Cricetulus griseus: one gene and its partner. The protein of the gene in region 1 binds, or shares a complex with, the protein of each later gene. Links are inferred from orthologs where the notes say so. Each region holds a gene or a part of one and is shown on either strand. Other genes may lie near its edges.

Region 1 (3,562 bases):
GTCTCTCTCATGCCTTGGTTTTCTTATGGCACTGGGGAATGAGCCCAGGGTCTTGCCCTTATAGACAAACAGTACTGTGGAGCTGTGTCTTTTCATTCATGAAGTGCCGAATTCTCACTATATAAAGTGATTGTATTAAACTTACAGATATTTGAAAATTGCTTAAAAGAGTGCCCAGATCCCACTATAGCTGTAATGAATGTCAGCTGTAGTATTATGTCATTGTTTTTCCTTTAGAAGTTGCCATCCTAAGCTTAATTTCTCAGATTTTTAAAGGAAAGATTTCATAATATAAAAGATTTTACCACCAAAAAGAGGTCTTAGGTTATTTCTTGAGTTTGAATTACATTGGATTAGTTTTCTTATTTCCTATTTTAAGAGGGATTCTTCTTGCTCTGTTTAATTATTTTCTCATTTTTGTAGTGCTGAGGAATCTAAACCCAGGCCTTAAGCACAAGAGGCAAGCACTCCACCAGCTGAACTGTATCTCCAGCTTTTGTCTTTTGAAGAATGTGACACAAAATAATAGTTGAAATGGTTTATATTGTGTCTTTTAACCTTCTAAGGTACAGAAGGATGAAAACATTTACTGCCTATTACTAAATCTAGATCTTGGTTAGTTGTTGGTTCATAAAAACAGTATGATGCCATAATGTGATGAACTGAGTTTTAGTAAATTTTGTTGGAAACACTTGTGTTTTTTGCTTGGCATGACTGTCTATATGTACTTAATGACAAAGATAGATTTTCTATAAAATAGTCTTATTTATGTTTTTTCCAACAGGGCATTCTTAGCAGGGTTACGGAATCTGTTAAGAATATTGTTCCAGGGTGGTTACAAAGATATTTCAACAAGAGTGAAAATGCGTGTAGCTGTTCAGCAGATGCAGGTGAAGTTCCACACTGGCCGGAAAATAGAGAAGATGAGCATGTAATTTATACTGGTGAGGACAACACGAACATTGATGATGGGAGAATTACTCCTGAGCCAGCAGGCAGTAACACAGAAGGTAAATAGAGTGTGGATATTTGGTGACAAATCAGATTTTCGTGTCTTAATTTTAAGATCTTTATATTACCTGGCTATGGAGCAATCCAATTGAGTGATGTATAAATCCTGTGTGTATATGGAATCAGTTTTAAAGTGAGTATGTTTTATTTAGCAGTCTTAAATTATTTTGTGGGGCTGGAGAGATGGCTCAGTGGTTAAGAGAACTGACTGCTCTTCAAGAGGTCCTGAGTTCAATTCCCAGCAACCACATGGTGGCTCACAGCCATCTGTAATGAGATCTGGTGCCCTCTTCTCGTGTGCAGATATACATGGAAGCAGAATGTTGTATACATAATAAGTAAATAAAATAGAAATCTTTAAAAAGAGCAAGCTGAGAAAACCCTGGGGAGTAAGCCAGGAAGCAATCAATATTCCTCCATGAACTCAGCTTCCAGGCTTCTGCCTTGACTTCCCTGGATGATGTAAGCTGTAAGATGAAATCAACCCTTTCTCTAAATTGATTTTGGTTGTGGTGTTTATCACAGCAATGCAAACCTTAACTATGACACTAAGAACACTAGATGTATAATTTTCTTCTAAGTAACCATTCTTACAAGCCCATCTTACTGTTTCTCTTTATAGGCCAACTAGATAGGAATATACATTACTAATTACACCAACTGTCACAAGGCACACATCTATGTCAGTCCAAAAATTTTTTTTCTAGCAAAATTTATCAAAACACAGTAAAAACAAAACCACATTAACTAGGTCAGTGGTAGGGCCTTGCTTAACATACCATCCTCATCTTCTACCCTCCAACCCTCTCCCAAAACAGTGGAATATGCACAGAAAGATAAATATTTTTGCAGCATCTTCTTGCCAAAAGCCACAAAGTACTGAAATTATAAAAGTTTAAGCTGCAAGTCTTAGTTTTCACTGATTTATCAGTTTCCCTTAATGAACAAAAAAACTAGTACAGTTTGATAAGATGGATCAGTAGATAAAGGGGACTTGAGTTCAATGTCTGGGAAACCCGTGTCAAAGGAAAGAGAACTGACTCCACCACAGTTGTCCATTGATCTACACAGAGAGAGAGAGAGAGAGAGAGAGAGAGAGAGAGAGAGAGAGAGAGAGAGAGAGAGAGAGAGAGGCATGCTGTCCCATGTGCACAGAAGCACAAAATAATAATTTATTTTTATTTTTAAATTTTTTTAAAAGATTTTATTTATTTATTATGTATATAGTCTTCTGCCTGCATGCCAGCAGAGGGTACCAGATCTCATTCAAGGTGGTTGGGAGCCACCATGTGGTTGCTGGGAATTGAACTCAGGACCTCTGGAAGAGCAGTCAGTGCTCTTAACCTTTGAGCCATCTCGCCAGCCCTCAGCTTGCTTTCTTATTGTACCCAGGACCACCATTCCCAGGGATGACACTGCCCATGGTGAGCTGGGCCTTCCCACACCATCAAGGGAGCAAATGCATTAGCTGGGCATGGTGGTGCATGCCTTTTATCCAAGCACTCTGGAAGCAAAGGCAGGTGGATATCTTGAGTTCCAAGAGAAACCCTGTCTTGACCACCCGCCCAAACAAAATACCAAAACGAAAGAAAATGCACAATAAGCTTTGCCCATAGGCCACTCTGGTGGGTGCATTTTCTTAGTTGAGGTTTCCTTTTCCCAAACGACTACAGTTTTGGTCAAGTTGATGTAAACCAGTACCAATAGTACTCAGTTTGGTATAGTCTTTGTTTTTTGGGGGCTGCCATTGTACACATTTTGGGGTGAGGGCTCGAGACAAGATTTCTCTGTGGATCCTTGACTGTCCTCTAACTTGCTCTGTGGACCAGGCTGGCCTTGAACTCACTGAGATCTACCTGCCCCTGCCTCCTGAATGCTGGGATTAAAGGTGTGCAGCACTACTCTCTTTTGCTGGTTTTAGGATAACTTGAATTTTTTTTTTTTTTAAGATTTTATTTATTTTTTTATGTATACAGTCTTCTGCCTGCATGCCAGCAGAAGGCACCAGATCTCATTCAAGGTGTTTGTGAGCTACCATTGTGGTTGCTGGGAATTGAACTCAGTACTTATGGAAGAACGGTCGGTGCTCTTAACCACTGAGCCATCTCTCCAGCCCTGATAACTTGAATTTTGATATCTGAACTTTTCACAATTTCTTTTCAAATGTTATCAGCAACACTATTGAGGCTTTATCTGGTAGATCTCTAAGGTGATTGCTTCAACTGAACTTTCTTGCCATCAAATGGGGCCCAGGCTTTCTGTCTTTTGATGAGATTTCTGGTAAGCACTAGTGTATCTATAGTAGCAGAAGGCCCTTTCCCAGTTTGATGAGCATATTAGTAAGGAATAAGTAGCCTGAGTTTCTAATTTTATATCTGTAAAATTTTAACTATGTGTGTTGTCTTATAATGGAATTAGTAGGAGCTTAGATTTTATTCATTAAATTACTAGGTTTATTAGGTAGATTGCATTGTTTATCTTTGTGTATTTTAAATGCAAATTATGGAGGAAAAACTATAGAAGATGATGCTACGGTGTATTCCTGATATTG
Region 2 (4,195 bases), on another chromosome or scaffold:
CCTTGAAGTGATTTCATTTTATGTATTAGAAACATCAAGTTTATAAGTGTGTGTGTGTGTGTGTGTGTGTGTGTGTGTGTGTGTGTGTTTGTGCCACAGTCATGGCACCTGTAGTCAGTAGACAACTTTTTGGGGTTGGTCTCTTATTCCACTATGAGTTTCTAGCAGGTTGCAGGTGGTGGAGATCAGACTGGTATAGAAGTGCTTTTAACCAATGCACTATCTTTGCTGGTCTGTTTAAACTTCCCTTTTAAAGGCGTAACTAAGTAGTAATAGTTTGTTTCTTTTACTTCCCAGGAGTCTGAAATTTATGTGTTGTAAGAATAAGCTTAATATTAAATGAGAGCATTTTTATCGATTTATTATTTCTATCAAGTTCCTTTGAAAAAAATCATCTCACATTACCAGGCAGTGGTGATGCATACCTTGAATTCCAGCTCGTGGGAGACAGAGACAGGAGGATCTCTGAGTTTGAGGTCAGACTGGTCTAAAGACTTGCAGGATATCCAGGGATGTTAACACTGAGAAACCCTGTCTCAAAAAAGCAACAACAAAAACAAACAAAAATTGTCTTGTTATTTTTCTGTAATTTATTCCTTCTAATTTAATTTTGTCCTTTGTTTCAAACATCTTCATGTAAATGGTTTATTTTCAGATTATCTAATAATTTAATATTTAATAATACCAGGTATTTTATTTGGTGCAAACATTCGGTTAAATGGAAAGTAGACTCCTGACTTTGATGCCATTCAGTTTAGCAGGTGAATGATCCAGGTGAGCTTCAGGAGGCCTGGTGGGTAATGAAGACCATGGGCACATAAACAGTGTTCAGCACTAGAAAATACAGGACAGAAGCAAACAAATACATCTCAAATCGCACACAAGTTGAAAACGGTGGTTTAGGTAGTTTTTCTGTAAATAAACTAACAGACCAACATAATGATGAGCCTACTTTAGTTTGTCTTCGGCCTTGGTGGTGCACATCTTTAATCCCAGCACTTGGGAGGCAGAGGCAGGCGGATCTCTGCGGTTGAGGCCAGCCTGGTCTACAGGGTGAATTCTTGGAATCACTTGGAAACGTTGAAAAGGGAAAACACTTGGTGGCTTAGTAGTTACTGAAATAAGAATGGAGAACAAAGCCCTCAGATTTACGTTTTGACCTTCTGAGTGGCAAGGGCTGGATCCCCAGTGACTGCTTGTGCTGAGCATTTTCCCTTCCCCCCCCAGAGCGCCCGAACCCAGCGTGGTGACTGACACCGGCAGCAGGGCCAAAGGTACTTGATTGACACGAACGGTGACCAATGAGAACAGAGGGCCGGCGAGGCTCCCGCCCCAATGGGCCGACTATTGGCAGTCTTCAGCCAATCGCAACCAGAAATCTCTGTTTGGTGGGTGGTCCCGCGGCCGGGAGGTTGGTGGCTGTTGAGCGGTTCCCGTGGAAAAGTCCTTGGGCGGAACATCTTGGCCGGAAGAGAAAATGAGTTTAGCTTTGAGGTCGGTAACGAGGAGGCCGTGTGTCCATTCCGCAGAGGGCCAGGGCGGGCGCGGAAGGGAAGCCGGGCCGGGCGCGGGTGCAGAGCGCCGAGCATCACGGCGGTGCGGCCCTTTTCTGCGGACTGCGCCGGCGCCGCATCGGGAGCCCAGTCTCGCGAGGTTTCCCTCCTGCGTGTGAGGAACTCGGGCCTGGCGGCCTCCTTCCTTAGGACAAGCGTGGGACAGCCAGGCTCTCTCCGCGGTCGAGGCGCCCTGTGCGTCGGCCGCCCCGGCGGATCTGGTGCCCTTGATTTCCGCCATTCTCGTCCAGGCACCCACCTGGCCCACTGGCTCCCATTGGCTCCTCACCCTGTCCATCTTCACGTGCAGGCGCTGTAGAGTGGGTAGACGCTGATGGCCCGGCGGGGGTGTGGCCCGGCGTGGGTGTGGCGGGCGGCCACCTCTGCTCAGCCCCTGCCAGCCTTCTGCCCTTCAGGTGTAAAGAGCCTACACACTCAGCCGTGTTTCAGGCTTTCAAGCTTCCATTTCTTAAAACCTAGCGGATACACGTGTTGTGCCTCATTTAAACATTGGCAGTCTTTAAGGCAGACGTTTTTGGCCCTAAATCCCTTTTTAGATGTTCTTTTACGCTTCTCCAGAGTTTTTAAATGAAGACGTTTAACCCATTGTTTATAGGTTGAGACTGACAACACTTTTAAACATCACACAGACTCAAATAGGAACATTATATGCTATTATTTTGGTCGTCTAGTATTTGTTTAGGTGCTTTTATATTTTGGCTGGTTAATATGGAATGAAAACACAAAGCACTGTTAGAAATGTATAATCTGAAAGCATTTTGAACTTGCAGTGTTAAAGTGACTCACCTTATAAGCTTTATGGTTAATCTTTGTAGTAATTGTGAGAATTTAATTAGAAGCTGTCCAAGGTAAACCATATATCGTGGTTGTCATTTGTGAAATTTACTTTCACATGGATTTTTATATTTGTTTTCATGCTCTTGGTAGGTAACATGAATAACAACTAATAGTGCTTTGGATTTTGGTATATAAAAGTACATTTGGAGTACAAGACGTTGACTTAGGGACAGCTTCTTTATTCTCCAGACTATTCTGCTTTGTTGAAGTTTAGAAAACCATTCTTTGTTCTAAGTGAGTTGGGTTGAAGTGGACTAAACACATTTTCCTGTGTCACAGAAGTGAGCTTGTAGTAGACAAAACAAAGAGAAAAAAACGAAGAGAGCTCTCTGAAGAACAGAAGCAAGAAATTAAAGATGCCTTTGAGCTCTTTGATACCGACAAAGACCACGCAATAGATTATCATGAATTAAAGGTAACAGTGTATTTGATGACACATCTCTTTTGTTTAAATGAATTGCACTTTTGACTGTTGCTTTAAAGTCTATTTTAAAAACTTGTTTTAGAACCCTGAAGCTGTTTTCAGTATCCACTTACAGGGGCTGCAATAAAATTGAATAAAAAACCCTAATATGGCTTTTAGAAACTCGTATTTAAATGTAAAAGTACATTTGGTGGGAAGTAAGGCTTTTTCATTCACCCAGGTGAAAGAACAGTTCTTAGCTTATTCTTCCCATTTTTGGTTTCTTCTGGAGGACGGAGTAGCTCAGATTCTTTAAAAAAAACATGTATGTGGCATGTGCATGTGCATGTGCCTGTGCAGGCATGTAAACCACATTGTGTAGTGTGTGGAAGGCAGAGTGGGGCTTTGTGTATCTTTCATCACCATCTACCTTACTGCCTGGAGACAGGGCACCTCACTGAATTGGAAGCTCATAGCCTAGGTTGGCTAGAGAGTGAACTCTGGAATCACATCCCGATCTACCCCTCAATGCTGGGGTTACGGACACTTGTAGCCATGCCTGTCTTTATGTGGGTGGTTACAGTTCCAGTTCTGGTCCTCGTGAGTGCAGGACAAGCGCTCTTATCCACTGAGCTATCACTTAAGCACAGCACAGACAATTTTCAGATTGAGAGAGTGTTACCTTTGCTCAGATGTTTCCGAGATTGAAAATGTATCCTTTCAAGCTTTTATTATTTATCTTTATTTTATATTTTTGTTGGACAAGGTTTCTTTATGTAACAGCCCTGGCTGTCCTGGAACTCAGCTTTGTAGACCAGATTGACCGAGAACTCAGATTTGTTTGCCTCTGCCTCCCAAGCGCTGGGATTAAAGGCATGCAACACCACCACCTGGCTCAATCTTTGAATTTTCAAAGATAATACGGACAAACTCTTATTTTTCTTTTCTTTGCTACAAAGGATGTACATTGTCTGATGCCTTATGTTGATACATGCTGAGGGACTATGTCAAATTTAAGGCTTAAAATTACTAGTAAAGGAGCTGGGCGGTTGTGGTGCACACCTTTAATTCCAGCACTTGGGAGGCAGAGGCAGGCGGATCTCTGTGAGTTTGAGACCAGCCTGGTATACAAGTTCCAGGACAGCCTCCAAAGCCACAGAGAAACCCTGTCTCCAAAAACAAAAACAAAAACAAACAAACAAACAAAAAATCCAAAACTACTAGTAAAGATTGGAGAAATTGGTGAGGATCTTATTCAGTCTACTAGCATTTATGAAATCTTTTAGTAGCCTTAATGTTTATAGTAGTTTTAATTCGGCAACATTGTAGGGGGGTTTTAAGCAATCTAAGTATGGGTAGGAACTATGTAGTGAGAGGATAG

What was found.
Region 2: Nup153 (region 1) and Cetn3 share a complex: the UniProt entries of both Homo sapiens proteins name them as parts of the nuclear pore complex. The link is inferred for Cricetulus griseus from reciprocal best matches to the Homo sapiens genes NUP153 and CETN3.

The regions. Positions count from the first base shown.
Region 1 is NC_048596.1:266,416,764-266,420,325, reverse strand, and holds part of Nup153 (nuclear pore complex protein Nup153), read left to right. Parts: intron 1-784; coding exon 785-1,010; intron 1,011-3,562. UniProt on the Homo sapiens protein: Component of the nuclear pore complex (NPC), a complex required for the trafficking across the nuclear envelope. Functions as a scaffolding element in the nuclear phase of the NPC essential for normal nucleocytoplasmic transport of proteins and mRNAs.
Region 2 is NC_048595.1:302,231,426-302,235,620, forward strand, and holds the start of Cetn3 (centrin-3), read left to right. Parts: upstream 1-1,359; 5' UTR 1,360-1,477; coding exon 1,478-1,494; intron 1,495-2,690; coding exon 2,691-2,826; intron 2,827-4,195. UniProt on the Homo sapiens protein: Plays a fundamental role in microtubule-organizing center structure and function. As a component of the TREX-2 complex, involved in the export of mRNAs to the cytoplasm through the nuclear pores.